Arabidopsis thaliana: one gene and its partner. The protein of the gene in region 1 interacts with the protein of each later gene in a pairwise test. Each region holds a gene or a part of one and is shown on either strand. Other genes may lie near its edges. The genes, in order: FBA8 and AT1G65000.

Region 1 (12,396 bases):
GAAAACACCAAAATTTGCATCTACAATTGAATGATTCACGTTCAAAAGAACCATTAAATGAGTCCTGAAATTGACCGTTACCGTATTAATGTCAAAAGACCAGACGACAAAAATCAATACTTAGAAATTAATTAGAATCTTTCATATTATTAAAAAGAAATCGACGAGAAAAAGTTAAACCTAAATATTAAAGAACCTTTTTTTCAATCTCCTTTGTTTAAGTATTAAAATATACAAAGTTAAACCTAAATATTTGTAACTACTACTAAGCAACTAATAAAACATCAAATTAAATCATAAAATACCCTTTTTCAAATATGTTAAAAAATCAAAACCTCCTTGAATATTCGCATCCAAACCAAGGATTCACATTCAAAAATTCCTCGTATCAATTATCATTCGCATATATATCCAAACAAACCCCCAAATATATAGGATTAGATCAAGGCTAATAATTTGAACCAAACATTTTTTTTTGTATTTTGTTGTATATAAAAAGAGAAAAACAATCTCTAGACGACACGTAATTAAAAGTGTATTGTTTTGAGAAATATTATACGAACTTAACGGATACGTAAAACAAACCATTAAATAATAAACCCAAAAACAGAAAAGAGAGTGAGAAAGCAAACAAAATATAAAAGAGTGAGAAGAAGAGGACAGAGAGAAGAAACCATTACCACACATACAGAGAGAAACAAACCCACTCCATTAAAAACCAAAGCTTTAAGCTTAGATTCAATCCCAAGTCAGTAAAAATAGGGTTAATCGAAGAACCCCACCGGAATTCCACTGAGGAATTGCATCAGTCGCGTTCTTGTTGCGGCTTGAGGAAGAAAAAGAACACCTACACTAACCAAAACAAGAACAAGGACGAATTGAAACCGAAGATGACAACAACGAATGAAGCTACTACACAGCCTCCTCAGCAGATGATGAGCTTGAGTTTTAGTAGTCAGATGTCTAAAGAAGACGAAGAGATGGCTCGTTCTGCTCTCTCTGCTTTTAGGGCTAAAGAAGATGAGATTGAGAAGAGGAAAATGGAAGTTCGTGAAAGGGTTAAGGCTCAGCTTGGTCGTGTTGAGGAAGAGACTCGTCGTCTTGCTAGTATCCGCGAGGTTTGTTTTCATTTTTTGCTTTTTAAAGTCCAAAACTTTAAGATCTGAGAGATTTTGTTTTGAGCTTGGTCTGAAAATTACACTCATGCAAGTTGACTACTTTCTGTGTGTTTGTCTTTTTTCTGAATTGAATTTTGATACTGTTTATGTGGTTTTAGAATATTAGGGTTTTGAAAGATGTGAAATTGTAGATTTGGACTCAGGGGATAGGGAAAATGGGATTTTTTTGTCCTTTTTAAGAAATTTGATGATTTGTGAATGATTTATACAGAAATGGTTTAGCTTTGTAAGCATATGATTTTGCATGTACTCAATTTGGTGAACAAAGAACAAAAATTTGTGTTTTGAGTAAATGGGTTTTGTAAGTCTATTGATATGTGAAAGCTAGGATTTGGACATGAACTTGTGCTTCTTGTAGTTGGGTTTACAAGTTCTGTTATCAGGAAGGTGTTTAACTTTGTAGAAATTATCATGTTTTTGTTTCAGGAGCTTGAGACAATGGCAGATCCCATGAGGAAGGAAGTTAATTGGGTGCGTAAGAAGATTGATAGCGTCAACAAAGAACTCAAACCATTAGGCTCTACTGTTCAAAAGAAGGTAAGTACACTTGTCAAAGAGCAGTTGCTTCATTCTCACTACCTGTTGCTATGAAAAGTTTTGCTCTTTACCAAACCCAAAACTCAAACCTAAATGTCAACTGAATCGATTTGTGGTTGTTATGGTGTTGACTAAAAGATTTGATATCGCATTAGTCAACTTTAAAGATTTGTTTTTCAATGAACAAAACCTGAAACTCATGTTTTTGTTTTATGTGATGATATGACAACAGGAAAGGGAATACAAAGAAGCATTGGATACGTTCAACGAGAAGAATCGTGAGAAAGTTCAGCTGATCACCAAGCTAATGGAGGTTAGTTTCGAGTTGTTGGTTATAGTTTTGCTGAACAATGAGAACAAATCCGAGTTTTACCGCGCTTATTAATAACTGTATTGATTTGTTTTATGTTTGCTTAATATTCTCCCTGGGGAGATGGGACAGTTGGTTGGAGAAAGCGAGAAGCTGAGGTTGAAGAAGCTGGATGAGCTAAGCAGGAGCATAGACACAGAGAGTGAATCTATCTCACAAGACAAGACCATACCAATCAAGAACTAATTTGGTGTATTTTTTCTATTTTATTTTTACGTTTTGGAATGTTTTCTTAGTTTCTGGGTGTTTTAGTTTTCTTTTGCTATGATTTGTGGGTTGATTTGTAAAATTATGATGGGGTTTTTCGTGTTTTTGATTAACCATTATTGTTAGGGAAGGGAAATGGGATAATGCTTCTTCTGCTTAGGCTACTGAATGCTAAAAGGGTTTGTAAGTTTGAATTTTTTTCTTGCTTTGTTTTTTCTAATATTATTTTATTTGTTATATTGTTTAGCTTTATTTTAATTTCTTTTCCCCCCCAAATTATGTTTAGCTTTTTGAGAAAGTAGCCTCTCGCCGTCGAGCGTGTGTGGTGGGTGTTTTGAAATTGAAACGACTTCTTCTTGTCAAAGTAAATCATGACCTTGACCCACACAATAGACTCGATAAATTCCAATTATTGTTTTCAAAGACAAAAATGTAAAATGATATTTTAGTAAAATGGAAAGAAAAACACTTAACAAAATGGGAAAGATATGATATTTGGTTGTAAGATCTTCAAGTATTCCCATTTTCCAAATATTGTTTTCCTAATCTAGCAAATTCCTTATTCTTTGAATTACACTAAATTATTCAATCGAGCTGGTAAGATAGAAATATTCGATCGTACAAAACACAGCAATGTGCTAATCTACAAACTATTTGGTAGACATGATCTGGAAAGCAAATGCTTTTTTATTTATGATATTCAGTGGAGAACCAATTTAGTATACTTTCATACAGTAGGCCCTTTGAGGCCCATCTTACACATAAACAGAATATCATAAATTAGCTGTGTATTCTCATTACAGCATTTGGCAATAAGCTGGCTTTTGGAATGCTTTTGAAGACAATGAAAACACACTACAGTCTTGTTCATATTCTTGTGTCTGCAAATTAATTGAGAAAGTGTATAACTTTCCTATGTTTCTGAATCTTGTTCGAGGCTCCTTTCAGCTTATGGTTGTAGCCTCATATAGCAATTATGCTCTCACATACTAGTCATATTGTTGAAAAAATGAAACAGGAACGCTTGGTTCATACTCTTCATAGACAGATTTTTATGTGTTTAAAAGACGAGATTTCATATACGAATCAGAGAACCAAATACAATAATTTAGGCTCAAGAAGCGGTAAATCAACAGAAACTGATTTTCAAATTCCACAAGAGGTTCAACAGAAATAACCTCAAATGACTTTTTTATTTGGGCGTGTTTTTAAAATACTCAATTCTAAAAAACAAAACCCAATCAAAATCAAAACACAAATCCAAAAGGAAAATGAAGAAAAAACACTTATAATCCGATAATGTCAAGTAGAAAAACGAAAAATCCCTAGAAATATATCCAGGAAGATGACAAACGTCACAATTCAACCCGTGGACGATGCTCAGTACTTGTAATCCTTCACGTGAAGGCTCTCAGCTGCTCCATCACCAAGCTTAGCGTCACCCTTGTAGGTTCCGAGTGTGGCTTCAGAGTTAGCCTTGCACCTCACATACAACGCCTCTTGAGCTGCCTTGACATTCTCCTCTTTACCTGCCCATGTCTTCAAGGTAGACTGCTGCAACGCACGTCCGAATGAGAAAGACAATGACCATGGCTTCTTGGTCTTCAACTGGTTCATGGCGTTCAAGTTCCTGGTAGCTTCTTCCTCGCTCTGTCCTCCAGATAAGAAGACAATGGCTGGAACAGCTGCTGGGACGGTTCTCTGAAGGGCACGGACGGTGTGCTCAGCGATGACTTCAGGTGAAACCTTGGGGCTGTCAGATCCGGGAGTAACCATGTTAGGCTTCAAGAGTGTACCCTCGAGCAAGACGTGGTGGTCGCTAAGAGCCTTGTAGCAAGCTGCAAGGACACGCTCAGTCACGGCAGCACACTTCTGGATGTCATGGGATCCATCGACTAGGATCTCAGGCTCGACAATTGGTACAAGACCGTTCTCTTGGCAGATAACAGCGTATCTAGCTAATCCGTAAGCGTTCTCATGAATGGAATGCTCAGATGGCTCGTTCTCTCCGATCTTGAGGACTGCACGCCACTTGGCGAAACGAGCACCAGCTTCGTAGTACTTCTTGCATCTGTCACCGAGACCGTCAAGACCTTGAGTGGTGGTCTCACCGTCGGTTCCAGCTAGCTCAACGGTACCCTTGTCAACCTTGATACCGGGAAGAACTCCTCCTTCCTTCAAGATATCAACGAAAAGCTTACCTGTACAAAGAAAACATCATCATCAATAAAAAACAATCACAAAACCACATTACAGAGTAAAACATTAAGTAATAGTATTGATCAAGTTCATACCATCGGAACTCTTTTGGTACAGAGTCTCTTCGAAAAGGATGACACCACTGAGGCATGGAAGAGCACCAGGGGCGGTGAAGAGAAGCTCACGGAGGTTACGTCTGTTGGTCTCAACGTTCTCGACGTTGATGCTCGCAAGACGCTTTCCAATGGTACCAGTGGACTCATCAGCAGCCAAAATACCTTTTCCAGGTGTGCCGATGTAGGCAGCGTTGGCGATCAACTCATCTATATAGGTTTCAAAAATGGAAAAACTTAAATCAATCAATCACCATAAGAGAACAACAACAGAAAAAGTTCCAGATCGTGAATACTAATTAGATCCGTATTAAAACCGATGAGAACATAGTTAGATCTACGCTAGTTTTTAACATAGGAATCATCGACTGATTCATTTCAGCTTTCGAAACCAAGCTAAGTTCACGAATCAACTAGATCTATACGATTAAACACGCTAATAAGAATCAAAACACGGGATAACGAATCGAATCCAATACACGAATCTAAACATGAATAAAGAACTTAAGAGAGATAGAGATCGAGATCTTACCGGCGAATTTGCTTGTGAAGGCAGACATAGTTGGACGGAGAGATCGAGAAATCAGAGAGAAATGAAAAGAGATGCGGAAGAAGGCAGACGAGTGGTGGACCAGTAGAGGAAAAGGGTTGGTTTTATAGCTGCGGATGAGAGTCTATTGGTTGGTGAAAATATTAATTAAGGGTCAGATCTTTGCATGTTCCCCAAGAAATAGCTTTTTCAGCCGTTGGATCTCTAATTGGCAATGTTGGCTAATCTTAATTCTACCCCTTAATAGCGTGGATTCTCAGCAAATTAGCTGAGGGGTAATTTGGTAACTCGTAGTGTTATTTAAGGAAAAGCATGACTTCGGCCTTACGACGGCCCAAACCGTCAGACGAATTGTATAATTGAGATCGTAAGATAATAAATTACATTAATCATTGATTATAGTAGTTTTTTAATCGTAATAAACACTTAATAGTTGACTACGAATCTCAATAGAATATTCTTATTGGAAATGTTATGTGTTTCTAGATTCACAGAAAAAGTGCGACTTTGATATCTCCGAACATAGAAAATTAAGATCTTAGATTTAGATAGAGACATATAACCGGAAAACAGCTGCGACTCTTCAAACGCATGAATAATCAAAAACTATCAAAGTCTTTTGCTTTCTACCGACACAGTATGTATGTAGTCTAGAACTTTTTTGTTGCTATTGTTGTTGTATACATTTTGAAGTTTTAAAGGTGTCTTTTAGGATCTTCAATGGTTTTATTGTTTCTTATCTTTTAGGTTCAAGTGATTATAAAATGAAACATCTTATTATTATAACAAATTATGAGATTTTTACACGTATTTTCAACATTTTTTTAATATGTGTATATAATTTTTTAATAAAACCTCGTTGACAAATAAATAAATTTTAAAAAACTCTATGACATACTAAAAATAAAATATGATTATAAATGGAAACAACTGTTACGATATGCCATAATATCTTAAGAAAGAAACTGATATAGAACATACAATATTTAAAAAGAAAATAGGGGAAAAGAAGGAAATATACTAAAAAGACAAAGAATATATGTATATTGACATGTAAATAGAAACACGGATGTGTATGGTCCATTTAAATTGTCTCCAAGTCGATTAAGATGGTACATCTAGAAACTTCGTAATCGTCAATTTCTATTTTTGTGATAATTTTCCATTTTCTCCTATAAACATATCCATCAGCATTATCATTTATCAACACCACTCTGTTCCTCTATTAGTATTTTTCTCAGTTTTACATAAGTACAATATTACTTTATCATGACATTTTACATCAAACAAATGTCTTTTGTAAAATCTCTGGTTTTTAAACAACCCAAAAAATAAAATCCGAAAATGCTGATATCAATGCTAAAATAATAATAAGGACTGAAGTTATTCTCAAACGTGTACTACAAAGTTTCACTCGAGCATTGCTAAAATAAAACAAGATTATGAAAAAATAAGACACAAGAGGATGAATCTGAAAGGATTCATGACTTGGCTCTTGGCACATCTAATAAACATAAGGAAGTATTCTCCAGGGGACAAGTCTAAGATACTCTGCCCATATCTCCTTGTACTTCTCTGCACATCGAACCTCGTCTCTTCGTTCTCTCCATATCAATAGTATCAGAAGGTATATCGGGTAGAAATATGGAACCGGAGAACTGAGAATACACAAGACAAAATATCATAAAAACAGCTTTGGGAAATGAACTTGAAAGCTTTAGACTTTTCAAATGATGGTTAGAGATCAATATCTTTAAGTCAGCCAAATCAACTTCGAACGTTTTGATATTGGTATTAGTTTCTACATGACTTTTGGTAGCTGTAAGATGAACTCAAGCAGAAGAAGTTACCTTATTCCACATGGCAAACTGAAGGACAGAGCAAGCATCAAGTCGCCAAGGTAATTACAGTGCCTTGCAATTCCCCTGTCATATATACAAAACAGCACCTAAGTTATCGGAAATGTGTCATTGCGGAACTTTCAACTCTTTATTCCCAGCATGATGAACAATCAAACACAGAGATGGCGAAACCAAGCAAAGAAACAAGAGAAGATAAATATAACATACCAATAGCCTGAAACCAGTAACTTTCCACCAACTACCACTGGAGGCTTGCCCCATATTGGTGTTTTTGGGTTCTTCTTAAAGATATGTTTTTGTTTGTTAGCTCCTCGAAAAACCATGTACCTGCCAAAGAAGAAATAGTGGGTTTCTTAGTGTAGATATGTAAGAATGGAAAATAACCCAATGTCTCAGAACTTACCCTATCAAGAAGACAAGGCAATTGACTACAATCGCAGGAACTGTTAGTTCTACTTTGTTGTGCAAAAGCCACCAGCCCTGTACCAGAGAGAAGACAATTCAGTCACAGAGTGATCAAGCATTCTAGAACAATATTGTTTCCGAGAATAACTGTAACATGCCAAGAAGATACTGTCAATAAGATAAATTAATATCTTGTTTGTGTTCAGGCTCACAGTTACATGCCTGAATGCTAAAAGTGAAAGGAATCCACAGGAGATCTCCAAACACTAGCATGAAGCCTAGTCTCTCTGCAATTATGTCCCACCTGAAAAGAGTAAAATCAAAGTAGATGTAATAATGCAAATGGTCATTTTTTGGTAAGACAAATGTGTTTCCTTAACACGCCATGAACTTACGTAGAGGTCATGTATTCTTCATGAACAAAGTAGTCCAATATATATAACTGCAATTATAAAACTAATCAAAACTAACAAAACACAGATGATCATAACTTCAAGAAGCAAGATTTGTAAGTAAAAACCAAATTTACCGCACAGAAGATCTGGTAAAGAATCATCGACTGACTCAAGGAACCATCCTGCACACTTTTTGCCAGAATAGAGAGATTGATAAGCAGCCATCCCATCATCCCGGCTCTGACAAAGAAAAACCTACACAAGGAATAACTCCCATTCATCATAACCATGCATAACTGCTGATTACATTATTAAACTGCCACTCGATTGAGTACGGAGCAAACTGAAGCAATGATGTAGCCTTGGCTGACAAATAGAAGAAAAAACAGAAAAATGGATTACTTGAGATCAATGCTCATAAACTGAGGATTCAGCTGTATTCCAAACCACCTATCACATGAAACAAACAATATGAGAAAAAATTGAAGCAGTTGTTTGGAAGAGATAAGTGAAAGACAAAAACCAGAACTTCTAGTTTCAGTAGAAAAGTTCAAAAGCTAAAGTCACTGCGGTTAAAAGGAAAAAAGAGGAAGCTACAACCGTTCTAGGAGAAATTACTCAACACTCTACGAAGTTCTATAGAATCATCTTGTCCAATTCAGTGTTTCAAACTCTATATAGTACCAGATTATTTCTTAGTTTTGCTCTTGCAGGAGTCAAAATATATAACTTTTAACAACATTTTGTGTAACAAGAAAGTATCAGATCTACAATTGTATTATGTTAGTACCAGTCATGTACAAGATTTCCTGAGACATGAGGCTTTAGGGAAGAACCCTTATTCGAGGAACTTCGCCCAGTAACATACAATGCTAATGTCACCTGAGAATATTAAGAGATATCATGGAGATTACAAATCACACCACCAAAAGCAAATCTGATGGTAACACAACTAAAATCAAGACACCGGACTAAGGATTGAATCATCTTACCAAAACACAGAAAATAAAAGTAGCTGAGAGTAACTCAAGTCCTCTATCCGCAACCACCTACAAAACATCTCAGTGGAATGAGTGTGAGAAAGCAATTGCAATCGGATTCATATAGCATATAGCATTCGGATTCATAGAAATACAATCGAAATCTTGTAACTACACTTACAAGAGGTGATACAATGCCAAGTTTTGCACAGATTCCCAAAATAGCTACCAACAATATTAGTGCCAATAGACCTGAAATTGAATTAACAAAACTAATGGAAATGAACTTTCGAGCTCACAGACTCTCAGGAATTGTAGAGAGAGTAAATCAAATCAAATATACCATTGCATCGGTAACGAAGTTGAGAGCCATCTGATAAAAGGACGCCGCGAATAACTTTCCCGGGGAGAATTTCTCCGGCAACGGCCAAGTAAACGAAGTAAAACACCAGCACATAAACCTAAAATCTCGGAACGAATTTAACAAAAGCTGATCAAAAGCGAACAAAAATTTCACAATAACAATTGCAACAGTCAAAAGCTAAAGAGACAGCTCACAGATTGCAATGATGGAAGAAGAACACCGAGATCCATATCTAGCAGCATTAAGCAGAAGAAGGATTTTCAAAGGAGAAGATGAAGCATTCGAAATCGTTTGTATCGCCTTTTCTCGCTTTGTTTAATTTCAGATGACAGAAGCAACAATTTTCAATTTTTTAGTGGGAAGCTCGTGGACTCTGATGAGCTAGCTCACTTGTGTGATTCGGGAAAATTACCAAAAAGAACCCTTAAACTCTTCATTTGTTGCAAGTAAAGCCTTAAACTAATGATTGTTTATACAAAAAAAACCAATCACTAAATTCTGCCAAGCACAACTTGAGCCTATGGCCCATGGGATGGCCTGGCCAGTCTCGCAAACGACTGTCATTTTAAGATAGCTACATCTTTTGGGTTTCTTTTTTAACATCTAAATTTTAGATTGATAGGACAATGTCTTTAGAGAAAAAGGTTAATGAATACTAGTTTCTCGGCAATGCGATTGTTATGTCTTCATGTGTATATCACCTCAACACTGGATAAGAGTTTGAACCAAAGATGGATATATCAAATATCTAGTTTTCCATCTATGTGTTCTCTTTTCTACCATTGATCAAGTCCACGAGTTATTGATGAAAGCCTTTTTCCACTATGGTCCATCTAAAACCGCAGATTCACAATGTATGCAAAGAGTGAAGGAAGCTAAAACCTTAGGCTAAAGCTTTTGTTTACTATTAAGATGCTGCCATTACATAAGGGTGCCGTAATGGTTCCGAATAATCCATCTCGATCTAGTTCTCTCACTTTGGTCGATCGCAAAAGCTTGCATCATGGTTGCATTTGAGCCATCCAAACGGAGGAGGTATCTACTTGGTTCCATTAATCGGTGTTGTTATTTCCACGGATATTTTTGCATTAAACGTCTACCTTAAAGGCTTAAACGTACATAGAAAAATCTGCACCGATCACATTTCACTAAAATATTTTTCTGTCAAATCACATGTTGGATGGTGTAACTGGTAAGTTATTAAAAGAGGGAATTACATGCGAGTCCACTTGTAACAAACAGTTGTGAGGCTCGACGGCAAGTTGACCAGAAACAACTTGCACTGCATCTATACAATTTTTTTTTGCTTTATTATTTGACAATTTTTCCATGTAACCCACACAAATCATATTTATTTGAATTAAAAAAATTTTGTATTTATGTTAGCCATTAACTCTTCTAGATACAAGAGAGAAATGTCATCAAATTTCATTGTTTAAAAAGAAAGGGTGATTTATAGACATTTATCAGAAAAAAAAAAAACATTTTTGCTTTTACGAATTTTATAGAAAGAAATATTAGTATTATATTTAACATTTTTAGTCGTCGATTATAAGAAAGGAGGTGGCGAACCACCACACACGCGGAAACAGGAACAACCAATGAAAACTCGATAAATGGCTTAACTCAATTGTTAAGAGCCGTTTGTTTTTTGGCAACAAAAGTGCTCGAGAGAGAGACCTTGAAGAAGAAAGAAGAAGGTAAACCCTAAATTCCCAATCTTCCCACATAACTTCTGCTCAAATCCTTAGGGTTTCAAGTTGTTTCATTTCCCTCGTCCGTTAAATTCGAATCCTTTTCGTGTATGTTGCATCGTATTCTCAGAGCAAATCGTCTTTATTGTGAATTGGGTTTTATTCAGATTCGTGCTTTAGATGAAATTTCAATAGTTTTTGAATTAAAGGTTGAATTTTTCATTTGCAGAGACGAGTTTGATATCTAAAGGAATCATTTTTGACGGATTTAGGATCTAAGTAAACCCTAGATTGACCGAATATGAGTACTCAAGCGACGGGTCCTTCTTCAACATCAGGGAGGAGAAGCAATTCTACTGTACGGCGAGGACCACCACCTTCTAAGAAACCAGTACAATCAGAGAATGGAAGTGTTAATGGGAACACCTCAAAACCCAATTCACCTCCTCCTCAACCTCAATCTCAAGCTCCTTCTAATGGAGAGAGAACAGTGAAGAAGCTTAGGTTATCGAAAGCTCTTACTATTCCTGAAGGAACTACTGTTTTCGATGCTTGTCGAAGAATGGCTGCTAGGCGTGTTGATGCTTGTTTGTTGACTGATTCAAGTGCGCTTCTTTCCGGGATTGTTACTGATAAAGATGTAGCTACAAGAGTGATTGCTGAAGGGTTGAGACCGGATCAAACTTTGGTCTCTAAGGTTATGACTAGGAATCCTATTTTTGTTACTTCTGATTCGTTGGCGCTTGAGGCTCTTCAGAAGATGGTTCAAGGGAAGTTTAGACACTTGCCTGTTGTGGAGAATGGTGAAGTCATTGCTTTGTTGGATATTACAAAGTGTTTGTATGATGCTATTTCTAGGATGGAGAAAGCTGCAGAGCAAGGTAGTGCTTTAGCTGCTGCAGTGGAAGGTGTGGAGAAGCAATGGGGAAGCGGATATTCTGCACCGTATGCTTTCATTGAAACCTTGAGGGAGAGAATGTTTAAACCCGCCTTGTCAACGATTATTACAGACAATTCGAAGGTTGCACTTGTAGCACCATCAGATCCTGTTTCAGTTGCTGCGAAAAGGATGAGGGATTTGCGGGTTAACTCTGTAATCATTTCCACGGGGAACAAAATCAGTGGAATCTTGACTTCAAAGGACATTCTGATGCGAGTGGTGGCACAAAATTTATCTCCTGAATTGACTCTTGTCGAGAAGGTAATGACACCGAATCCTGAATGTGCATCGCTAGAGACAACGATTCTGGATGCGTTGCATACAATGCATGATGGAAAGTTTCTACATCTTCCAATTATAGATAAAGATGGATCAGCTGCAGCTTGTGTAGACGTTCTTCAGATTACTCACGCAGCTATTTCAATGGTGGAGAACAGTTCTGGAGCTGTAAATGATATGGCAAACACGATGATGCAGAAATTTTGGGATTCAGCTCTTGCGTTAGAGCCACCTGATGATTCTGACACTCAAAGTGAAATGTCGGCAATGATGCATCATTCAGATATAGGGAAGCTCAGTTCTTACCCATCTCTAGGACTAGG
Region 2 (11,804 bases), on another chromosome or scaffold:
AGCAGAGGAAGTTGTCAATGTTTATTGTAACAATTACATTGTCCATGACTGAAGTAAGCTTATGTTATTCTCAAGAGTATTGACCTCTTTATGGAAATGTTTTCTTCGTATAGTACATGCTACAAAGCCTTGCATGAAAACGTTTCAGATTCGAAGCTTCGTGGTGTTTAGGACATATACACTTCAAAAGAAATGTTAGAATAACAAGAAAACAACGATTCTTCTTAATAAGCAACTCAGCTTCTATACAGAATCATATGCAGATAATGAATGAAATGTTCAATCTTTGCTAAAAACAACTTCATGAAACAGAGAAATAAACAATAAGGGAACAAGATCAAAGGGCAGTGTCTAATGTCATAGACAATCTAAATCTTGGTAACCAGAAAGCATAGATCAAATATATAGAGCTATACTCGTAAGAAATTTCAAGAAAACCAAGAAAAGCCCAGGTGCAAAGAGATAATCTTCCTCTACTTTTGACTGCTGCTGCTTGTACTCTTCTTTTTAAGCAGGTTTCCGAATTTCCGGAGCAAAGGTTTCTTCTTCTTCATATGTTGTTCCTTTAAGAGCAGATTTCCGGAATCTTCAGTGTGGTCTGTTAAAGAAAAGCCATTGCTGTACTGATCCATGTTCTCACTACTTTCTGCTTTCGAATCAACTTCCTCTTCCACAGAGTCGAGCTCGGTCTCTCTCTCTGGAGATACTTCGCTTTTTTCTATCTTGTAGCTATCCCACATCTTGAATTCAGACTCTTTCTCTACATTTCTTTCTCCTTCAACTCTGTGCGCTACCTTATGAATTGCTGCTCTTTCACCCATCAAATGTTTATCAATTGCTTCCATTGGACTTTCTTGTATCATATGTTCTCTGCTTCTCTGTTGATAATGATCAGTCTTTGTCTTTTCGTCACCATTACTAGCACCGTTTACTTCAGAAAACTGAACCAAGTCATAATCTTTTCCGATGCTGTTTAGCTCACTGTTCCCATGCTTTGATGGTTCTTCCATTTTCTCAAGGGCAGCAGCTTCCCTGCATTTTAGCTCGGTTTCTTTTTCAAGTAAACTCTCTTTCAGCTTCGACAACTCCTCTATTTTCTTTGCTGCTAAAGCATCCTGCGTTTTTAGCTCTAGGTTTTCTTGAGTAACTCTTTGAAACTCACTCTCCTTTTCAAGCCAACTTTGCTCAAGATGTAACAACTCATCAATCTTTTTCAAAGACGAAGCCTCCTTGGCCTTAAGCTCCTCGTTTTCATGAAAGACACCCTGGAGTTCGTTCTGCTTATCAATCAAAGTCTGTTTAAGATTTGTCAACTCTTCAATCCTCTGGAGGGACAAGGCTGCTTCAGCCTTGAGCTTCTCATTTTCAACAATGGCAGCCTGCAGCTCCTTTTCTTTGTGAATCAAACTTTGTTTCAGATCTGACAGCTCGTCTATCGTCTTTAGTGTTGAAACCTGCTTGGACTTCAGTTCCTCATTTTCGCAGACAACAGCCTGTAACTCATTCTCTTTAATGAGCAAACTTGCATTAAAATTTGATAACTCTTCTATCTTCTTTTGGGCTAGAGAGTCCTTGGATCTAAGGTCCTCAATCTCCACGACCATACCATGCAGCTCATTTTCTTTGTTAAGAAGATCCTCTTGCACCTTTGACAACTCCTCAATCTTCTTAAGATAAGCAGTCTCCCTTTCTTTGAGCTCCTCTTTTTCATGATTAGAAATCTGGAGTTTGGTTTCTTGATCAGATAAGATTTCATGCAACTTTGACAACTCCTCAATCTTTTTAAGATAAGCAGTCTCTCTTTCTCTCAATTCCTCATTTTCCTGAACAACTGTTTGCAATTTGCTCGCTTTATCGACTAAGCTTTCATTCAATTCTGACAACTCCTCTGCCTTCTTAAGTAATGTAGTCTCTCTTTCTCTGAGCTCCTTATTTTCTTCAGATATGTTCTGCAGATTGGTTACGTTATCAGCCAAGGTCCCATTTGCCGTTGACAATTCGTCAATCTTCTTAAGATAAGCAACCTCCCTTTCTCTGAGATCCTTACTTTCTTCAGCAATGTTTTGCATATTGGCTACATTATCAACCAAGTTCTCATTTTCCTTTGACAACTCTTCAATCTTCTTCAAATGAGAAGCCTCCCTTCCTCTGAGCTCCTCAGCCTCTTGATCAATGTGCTGCAGTTTGGTCTCTTTATCAACCAAGCTCTCATTTGCCACTGACAACTCCTCGATCTTCTTAAGATACGCAACCTCCCTTTCTTTGAGATCCTTACTTTCTTGAACAATGCTTTGCAGATCCGTTACGTTATCAGCCAGACTCTCATTTGCTACTGATAACTCCTCAATCTTCTTAAGATAACCAGCTTCCTTTTCTTTGAGATCTTCACTTTCTTGAACAATGCTCTGTAATTTGGTTGCTTCATCAACCAAGCTTGCATTCGCCGTTGACAACTCCTCAATCTGCTTCATATGAGCAGCCTCCCTTCCTTTCAGCTCCTCAGCTTCTTGAGTAATGCTCTGCAGCTTGGTTTCTTTATCAACCAAGCTTTCCTTTACCTTTGACAACTCCTCGATTTTCTCAAGTACAGAACCTTCCCATTCTCTGAGGCTGCTGATTTCTGCCGTGACATTCTTTAGGTCTTCTTCTTTGTCCAACAAGCTCTCTTTCAGTTTCATGCTTTCAGCTTTTGCTTCTCCAAGTGTTTCCTGCAGATACTTTACCTCCCCCTCAGCTACTTTGAGATTATTTTTAAGACTGGCTTCTTCTTCCTTTCTCGCACATGCATCTTCTTCGCTTTCTTTGAGTAAATTCACAAGCCTGCTTACTTCTTCCTGCGAAGACGAATTTTCTTCTTCTGATTTCTTCACACAACCCATCAGATGAAGTTCTTTCTGTTCCCACCCAGCCTTAGAGTTCTCAAACTCGTTCTGGATACTATCTACAGTACTTTTTAGACTATCTATTTCATTTCTAGCATCCTCAAGCATTTTCTCATACTTTTCGTTTGTCTCCTTTGAAGCCAACTTCAAACTGTCAACCTGGGATTCACAGTTCTTGAGCTCCTCTTGACATACCAACAACGTCGCCTTCGCTTCACTTGATTCAGTAGAAGCTTCCTGCAAAGCCAACGTCAAGCTCTCCATATCTTTCTTGCTCTTCTCTTCTTCCACCTTACATCGTTCCAACTCTATCGAAAGTTCTGTCCTTTGATCCAATAGATTCTGAATATTTGATGTTGCAGCCTTTTCATTGTCCAAGGCCCTAGTTTTTTCCTCTTGGGAGATTTCAAGCTCAGATTTTATTGATTCAACAAGATTTTCCAGCTTAGAAGCTTCTTCTTTTGCAATGCAAACCTGGCGTCCATATTCCTCAAGATCCGTTCTCTGTGCTTCGATTGTTTTCTCTAGCAACTCAATCTTTTCCTTTTGTGCAGCATTATCTGACTTTGTCTCATGCAGCACATGATTTAATTCAGCAAGCTGTTTCATAACTGATTCCATAGACTCCGAAGCAGATGACTTCGATCTATTTGATTCTTCAACTTCTTTTTCAAGTTCATGAACCTTGTTCTTCCATTCTTCTACTGAGCTATTAGTGCAAGATTCAGCCATTTTAGCAGCTTCAAGATCAACTTTAAGCTGTTCAACTAATCCTTCTTGCTCTTTCAGACTACTCTCAAGGATACTAACTTTTTCAAGCTCCCCTCTCAACAATTCAATCTCAGACTTCAGTTTAGACACTATCTCATTACCTTCAATAGCTTCCTTTTCTTCCTTTGAACCGAGCAATGCCTTTAACCGCCCTAATTCAGAAGCAAGAATCTCAGCTTTCTCAGCATGAATTTCAGCAATCTTCGTCGCTTCCTCAGCATGGCTAAGCGCCTTGTTTTTAGCATCAGCGGTCATAGACAATTCATGTTTTACCCTCTGGAGTTCTTCTGTGGTGGAGAGGAGAGCTGAGATATCCAACGCATGCTGACTTCTAATAGACTCTAGCTCGTTCTTTGAAGTTACGTCCTTTTTCTGAACAGCTTCAAGTCCAGCCTGTTCCAGTTCAACAGCTCGGAATTTCTCAACCTCGAAACTCTCCTCAGCTCGTTTCTGTGCTGCCAATGCTTCTTTAAGTTTCTCATTGGCTTCTTCAACAAGTTTTTCGGATTCTTTAAGATCATCTATAGCTTTAGCTTTATCTTTCTTGAGCAATTCTATTTGCTCATCAGCTTTCTTTAAATCCTCCTGAATTTGATTCAGTTGTGTCTGCAGCTCCGTTCCTTTTACCAACCGCGAATGCACTTTCTGAAAATGTCAAAGAATATGGTCATCATCAATGTCTTTTAAAGCTAATGAAAACCAAAAAAAGATTCATATATCAGTTGGAGAGAGTTCAGTATCTTGCCTCGGGTGTAGGAATCCTAGAAGGTCGACGGTCAGGAGTAGGCTTTGAGTTAACGGTTGGAGGAGAACGGTCAAGCGAAAGACGAGTATTTGGCACCGGGGAAGCCGAATTGCTATCGGATTTAGAAGCAGAGAGTTTACTCAGTCTAGGAGGTGGTGGTGATGGTTTACTACGAGGAGTCTCCATCAAACCAGTTCTACAGTAAACATGAATCAAGACAATGTTACACTAAACATCAATAAAAAAAAGTTTTAAATTTGTGGATCTAACATTATTTTACCAAAACAAGAGTAATTAAGTTGCTAAAAATCATAACTTTTCACCTGACTAAATCAACTAAGTTCCCAAAAGTCAAAACATTTACTAGACTCAAATCAATTCAGTTACATTTACTAGACTAAATCAACTACATTCCAATCAAATTAGGATTAAAATGATCAACTCAACAATTCATCACAAGAAACAGATCCAACTGTCAAAATCAAGAATCATATCAGATCCACTTGTAATGAAAGTAGAAGAAAGACTAAAAGTACTCACTTGGTTCTAGATGCCATTGTTGTTGCAAGAGAAGAGCTTCAAAGAAAAGAGAAATTGAATTGACAAAAAAAGAGTAATAAATGCAGCTAAATCCTCAGCATTGCTGCGAGAAGTCAGATCGATTTCATGGTCTTCTTCTTCTTCTTCTTACAGGACTACAACAGCACAAAGTCTTGAACTTACGATTAAGGGTCTTGTTAGAAGAACACAAAGTCTTGAACTTTAGGCAAAAGAATGGTAGGAGAGACTAATAATGAGTAATGGGTTGCGCTGTCTCCATAGTGGTCACCCTCTCTCTCTCCTTTCTTTCTCACCGCTTTTGCTTTTTTTTTTTTTGGGGAGTAATATATTATGATGACAAAAGAAAAAAGAAGAATAATAAAAGCTGTGAGTGAAGTGGACCAAAACAAGTTGGCTTTATTTAATAATGGAGGTGAGAATAAATCTCTCTAACGATCTGATTTAAGACCAGAGAGTTTGAGATCTTGGAGTTGTGTCATGTGGACTTCATGTGCTCTACTCAATCATGTTGATTTTTTTTTTCTCTTAATGAGATCTGCTAAACTTAGTTTAAACTTTAAAGACAGTCAATTTATTAATATAATTATAATTTGTCCACATTCAAATGTTTTCTCTACCTTTGTTTGGATATCTATTGTTGACACAAAATAAGAAATTATAAGTGCATCAGAAATCTTGGTGTTCATAGAAAAGAGGGATGATAGTGCAAGATTATTTCTCATAAGTACTGTCTCAAGATTACTTCTAGATCTTCTGAAATTTGTTTTGTAAATTTTTCCACATTTACTTGCATTAGTTAATTAACCTATATGTCTGATTTAGATTTTTGTTGTTGGTGTTCATAAAAAGAATATAAAGTTTTGACTCTTTTTAAAGCAACCATAGAAACAAGAACATTCCTTACAAATAAACATAAAATCGTTAGTCGTTCCGGAATTTTCTCACGTCAAATGATTCTGACACTCCTATTCACAAAACCGACAAAAGCTGTAACACAACAGCTCACTCTGTAGCTGTGTGCAATGCAAGAAGTGGTTCAAGACAGTACCCAGCAGAGAGATCACAAGCTAAGTCTTTTACTCCTAAGAAGGCTACAATAATTTAAGATTATTTACATGATGTTTTTATGGAAAAAAAAAGGCTTATGAGAGCTCTCACTCATACATCAGTCATCATATGAAATGTGAGGGTTTGTGACACAACCTGGTGCATTAGGATCCTCTGCCCCGCAACAATCATAGAACTTGGCAGCATACGGTGGATCATCTGGTTTCAATTCATAGTACCTTCATTTATTGATTAAAAAAAACAAGTTCTAGTTAATTCCACTTCTTAGTAAAAAGTAGAAATCAAACAGATGCATCATACTCAAGTCGATTAAACATGGTTTGGAATAAATATATATTCAGTTTCGAAACACCTTAAAATTAAAATGAAATAACAAATATCAGGTACCAGCAAGAATATGAATGCCAAAACCAACAACCATAAACACCAAAATAAACTCATTCGTTGCACATAACGATAAAAGCTCAACAAAAGATAGTTAAGTCTATGCTATGTGGGTAACTACAATGCATGGAACAGAGAGAATCACAAACAGAGGAAGTAAGTAAATAACCAAAGGAGCCAATAACGGAACAGAGACACCTACGTTCCTTCCTAGTCCAAAGTTTATTACCAAGATAAAACACGCAACATAGAATCAGATGATAAATCTCTAAACTGTATTTTTCACCACTCTTTATTTATGCTATTAACCGTCGACTAAACCATTTTTTCAACTAGCAGAACAAAGTGTAGGCCACTAGACAGCTTGAAAACTTGTCGAGATAATTTTTTATCCTCAGTGGTTAAGAGTATTCGACGTTTAAGAGTGACCACAATCATTAAACAGCTTCATGATTATGCCTAAAGAGTTTGAAATGGGCAAGGCAAATACAACAGTAGCTAATTATCTGCAAAGAAGGCTAAGAGCTAGTTTCAAATCAACCAAAACATGACCTTTGACCCACAAATAGCCATTAAACTGAGATCATGATCATCTATCACTTCAAAATTATTGGCTACAAAGAATCTAAGGTATCTAACTAAATTAGCTATAGATCCAGAACCTTAATACAATAAAGTGGATGGCTTTCAAAACCCATCTCAACAATTTGTGCTTTGCCATTATAAATTAGCGAATCAAGCTGCTTGGGATGTGAGATTCTTCATTAGTGAATAGATTTAGGGTTTGTAGGAGACATAACCTTTTCTGGTCATCGTGACGACGACAAACGAAGAAGGAAGGATGAAAACGGCAAGAGGAAGTTTCGTTTGAAAGATCTGTGTAGCTTTGTTTGCACCTTTGGCACAACTTCTCCATCTCCTTCTTCTCCATTCTCGAAGAACACTGTAATCAATTTCCTAATTTCTACGGCAAGTCAAATGGATCCGATTCCGGTTCACCGGAAGTTTGGTATTGCCTTTCGATTCCGGTAGATTAAATCAGTAATCTACGTTTTAGCAAAGATGAGCTGTTTTTGCTGTATTGACTTATGGGCCTTAATGGGCTTATTGGGTTTAGTTTTTATTTTTATTTTTATAACTTGGCCTCATTTTTCTGATAGTGAAATGTAGGATTGAAAAGCATAAAAACATTATAAACAAAATAGCTCAAAACTTTTTTTTGTTAAATAATTGTGATATAATAAGAAAAACGTTTTGTAGTTTTTTTAATTTTGAATTATTTTTTCCACATGCATCAAATATAACATACACATGAAAATCAAATATAAATGTATGATAAATATTGTGAATGGTAAAAATAATAGAATCACGTTATGAAAAATGGTATATTATACATCATCGATTGGTGTCTGATAAGTTTGGAGGAAACTTTAGCAATAATACAGGTTTTCTCTATTTATTCATTAGCTAATAGGATTATTTATACAAAAATCATAACTTGATTAGCAAGTTCTTTACATTTATGATAATATTAAATTTTCTATCTAACAATAAGAAAATGTACACAAATATTAATTTTTTATTAATGATAAAAAAAATATTTATCTTGATCCCGTAATTATAAGATTTATCATGAACTATCGATATCCCGATCTTTCCCTTCCCACTTCCCGCAAATTTATATATGGTAACACGTGTAAGATTGGACAAGCCTTCTAAACAACAATTTTAATGAATCGATCATTTTTCGTGTATATATGTAAAAGTGAAAGAAAAACAAAAAAATCAATCGACCAGATAAGAAAACATGTCGGAAAATGGAGTTAAAATTATCATCAACACTAGACTAGACGCCAAAACCTATAAACAAAAAAAAAGGATAGAAACACTATTGTTGTGCAGTTTCTTTCACATTACTCCGTAGCTCAATGGTTGGTTAGCGTTTAATAACGCCTTCCTCTCTGCGAGTTCGAGTTGAGTCGCATGGTGGTGGTGGTGATGATGAAGTTGATGAGGTTGTTGTTGATTAGAGTTTAAACCAAATAAACCCTAACCAAAAATAAATAAGGTATTCTTAAATACTTTTTTTTTAATTGTTTCATAAATGATCAAATTCGAATCGAATCGTACAACAGAAGCTCTGGTGTTGAATCGCCATGAGGTTTTTGCAGATCTGAGGTTTTTTCTCGAGAAGTAAGAGAGATCTGGAATTTGGCGACGATGAGTTACGGATGGGCGATATACGAAGGCACGGTGGTGATAGCTTCACTAAGTCTCTTAGGATGGGCAGGTTTATGGTTTCTTAATCGGAGATTATACAAAGAGTATGAAGAGAAACGAGCTTTGGTTCAAATCATTTTCAGTGTCGTCTTCGCTTTCTCTTGTAATCTATTGCAGCTCGTTTTGTTCGAGATCATACCTGTTCTCTCTAGAGAGTAAGTCTTTTCTCGAGTAATCCACTCTGTAGTTTTTGATATTTAGCTAGTTTTGGTGTTTTCTGGCATTGGAGGTTTTTGGAAACTTTACTTATTTGTTGTCTTCTAGATTGTGTTACTTACTTGGTCCTCCTTTGTTTGCAATTGCTTAATTTTGTTGACTTCTTACCTAATTGGCAATGATTTTGAGATTGAGTGTAGATTGATGGAGTTATTGTCTTAAGAATTTTTTTACTTGACAATTTTTTTGGTGTATGTGTAATGTAATCGAGTATATAAACTGTGTGGTAGCTAGCTTCTCTTGTTTATTCCTTTATGTCATGTGGAAATTTGATACTTGATACTAGATGCTTATATCATTGAGCTTTTGAGGTGTTTGTCATTGTACGTAATACTTATATTGGAGGGGGAATTCATGGCATTATGTAGCAATTGTTTAGTTGGAATATTAATTTAGAGTTTTAAGCCTTGGACCGATCTTTTGATGATTTTGCAGGGCAAGGATGATAAACTGGAAGGTGGATCTTTTTTGTTTGATACTTCTTCTGGTTTTCATGTTGCCGTATTACCATTGCTATTTGATGCTTCGTAATAGTGGTAAGCCTTATTTCATATGTGAATTTTCTTTGCTCTTATCACTTCTTGTTTAGAAGGTAATCACTATAATTGGTTAATTCATTGCAAGTTTCTTAGGAGCTCCTGAAACTATTTTTGTTATATAATTGCTACTCAACTGAGATTTCTTTGAGAACACTTCTGTGCAGCTGTGTATAAACAGTCTTTGGCCCATCATTTTGATCTTATATCTTGAAAAATCTTGATCCTTATCTCTGGCTTTGTTGCTTCTTTTATAAACACTCATGAGTTCAATTAGATGGAGATAAATGAATTTGAGAAAGCATCACTTTATTGTTCGCTGCCGCATATTACAGCATTTTGTGTGAACTGTCTGTAATTTTTTCAAGTTAAAATAACATTTCAGGTGTAAGAAGGGAGCGTGCCTCTGTTGGGGCTTTCTTATTCTTGTCAGCATTCCTTTACGCATTCTGGCGTATGGGAGTTCATTTCCCTATGCCTTCAGCAGATAAAGGTATTTATTTCAAACTACTGTAACCATTCCTTTCCTTCCAGCATCGCATCGTTATCTTGCTAGTTGCTACTCATTTTCCTCTTCTAAGTTCATTTATCCCTTGCAGTAGTGATAATTATAAACTTTAAGAACTAAGCTTGGTACCAGTGTTACACCTAATTTAATTTCTGTATAGATGAATATGGCATATTTATCCATTGTTATATGCACCAATATTGATAATACTGACTACTGAATATCTAGATTAGAGGGTATGATGTTGTTTGCAACGAAAGATAATGAGAGCTAGATAAGAGTGTATAGCATTACCGATAATGAGAGCTTGATAAGAGTGTATAGCATTACCTTGCTGAAAAATATCTTCAAAGAAAAAGCTCAAAATGACTAACTATTTATACTTTTCTTGTCTACTTCTGATCAGCACAAGCTTCTGCATCCAAGCATTCTCATTTCTGGGTTTTGGTTTTTGGATTTTATTGTCTGTTGAAGTTGTTGACTTAAAGCTCCTATTTCTTTGAAGGGTTTTTTACCATGCCTCAGCTGGTCAGTAGAATTGGGGTCATTGGTGTGACCTTAATGGCTGTCTTATCAGGATTTGGAGCTGTAAATTTACCCTACAGCTATATATCCCTCTTCATTAGGTACTAATATTCAACTCTATTTCCGTAAGCTACTAGATAGTGTTCTATTCATTATTTCCTTTTTCTAGTTTATATTTAACCAACAATAAGAGTGTTTCCTTATAGGGGAACCATTCAATGGGCTACATGATAAGCATACATAATTAGCACTGAATATATATAGTGCCACCTGCATGTCCTTCGGAGAGAAAGCATAAAAATGTAGAATGAAAGAAGAAAGCTTAGGAAAGAAAAAATGCAGATTTAATGCGACAAATATGCTAAGAAACTCCACAAAATAGGAACTTATATTCCACATTTTGAACTTGAATGAAACAAATGGTGCTGGATGTTCAGTTGGGATATTTTTATAAGCTATTTCCAGAAGCTTGTCATTTCTGTGATTTACATATTGGGTTTTGACTGGATTGGCAGGTTTATATAAAAGATATTTCTTTCTAACAGCACTTTTGTTCCTCTCTCATATAGGGAGATTGAAGAAGCAGATATAATATCTTTGGAAAGGCAACTGATTCAGTCAACTGAGACGTGCATAGCAAAGAAGAAGAAAATTATTTTGTGTCAATTGGAGGTGGAACGAAATCAAGGATCAGAAGAGGTTTGTTTTCGTTTTATCCTCATATGATTGTATTGTCTAATCTCATATTCTTTATGTTTCTGTTCTTGTGTCATAGTTCTTATAAAAGCCTTTGAACAAAGACTATTTCATACTTATGTGTCAAACTGCTCATTGTACTCTGAAGTCTCTGAACTGACTGTATCCTGACACTTTTCTTCGCATTAGTAAACAACCAGAAAAAAAGAATTTATTTATTTATTTATTTATTTATATATTTACATTAGACTGATAAAATAATGATGCTGTAAATGGAACCAAAACTATGGATAATTTATTTAAGACCGGAGAGATTATTGTCGGTCTCGAGCAAACAATCCATGGTCTTGGTTCCTTGCTCAGCTGCACGTCCTTTTCTGAGTGGGTACCTGAGTTCTTATTTTCATTGCTGTTATCTCAAACTTCTGTCTAATAGTTTTTAGTTAAACAATATGCCATATTTTCAGTGATGATTTTGGGAGCTAATAATCTGATGCTTTTTTTCTCCCAGAATCAGAAACGTAGCTCTTTCTTCAGAAGAATTGTTGGGACTGTTGTGCGGTCGGTTCAAGATGACCAAAAGGAACAAGGTCAGTTTATGTGTTCTTGATTTTATTTGTAGTTGTATTCCA

Evidence for each region.
Region 2: the proteins of FBA8 (region 1) and AT1G65000 interact in a two-hybrid assay, tested with the Arabidopsis thaliana proteins (one large-scale study listed by BioGRID).

Annotation. Positions count from the first base shown.
Region 1 is NC_003074.8:19,623,711-19,636,106, forward strand, and holds FBA8 (Aldolase superfamily protein), read right to left. Parts: upstream 5,495-12,396; 5' UTR 5,165-5,494; coding exon 5,137-5,164; intron 4,815-5,136; coding exon 4,587-4,814; intron 4,494-4,586; coding exon 3,673-4,493; 3' UTR 3,038-3,672; downstream 1-3,037. Other genes in the region: AT3G52920 (transcriptional activator (DUF662)), read left to right, coding at 891-1,118, 1,605-1,715, 1,948-2,028, 2,149-2,271; FK (Ergosterol biosynthesis ERG4/ERG24 family), read right to left, coding at 6,659-6,812, 7,005-7,079, 7,224-7,343, 7,420-7,496, 7,644-7,725, 7,817-7,863, 7,951-8,071, 8,219-8,266 and 5 more; AT3G52941 (Putative membrane lipoprotein), read right to left, coding at 9,620-9,763; AT3G52950 (CBS / octicosapeptide/Phox/Bemp1 (PB1) domains-containing protein), read left to right, coding at 11,156-12,396.
Region 2 is NC_003070.9:24,142,694-24,154,497, reverse strand, and holds AT1G65000 (F-box only protein), read right to left. Parts: upstream 7,574-11,804; 5' UTR 7,343-7,573; coding exon 7,212-7,342; intron 6,246-7,211; coding exon 6,125-6,245; 3' UTR 5,697-6,124; downstream 1-5,696. Other genes in the region: AT1G65010 (WEB family protein (DUF827)), read right to left, coding at 474-4,298, 4,399-4,594, 4,939-4,955; GTG1 (GPCR-type G protein 1), read left to right, coding at 8,632-8,846, 9,343-9,443, 9,829-9,936, 10,457-10,577, 11,046-11,175, 11,684-11,762.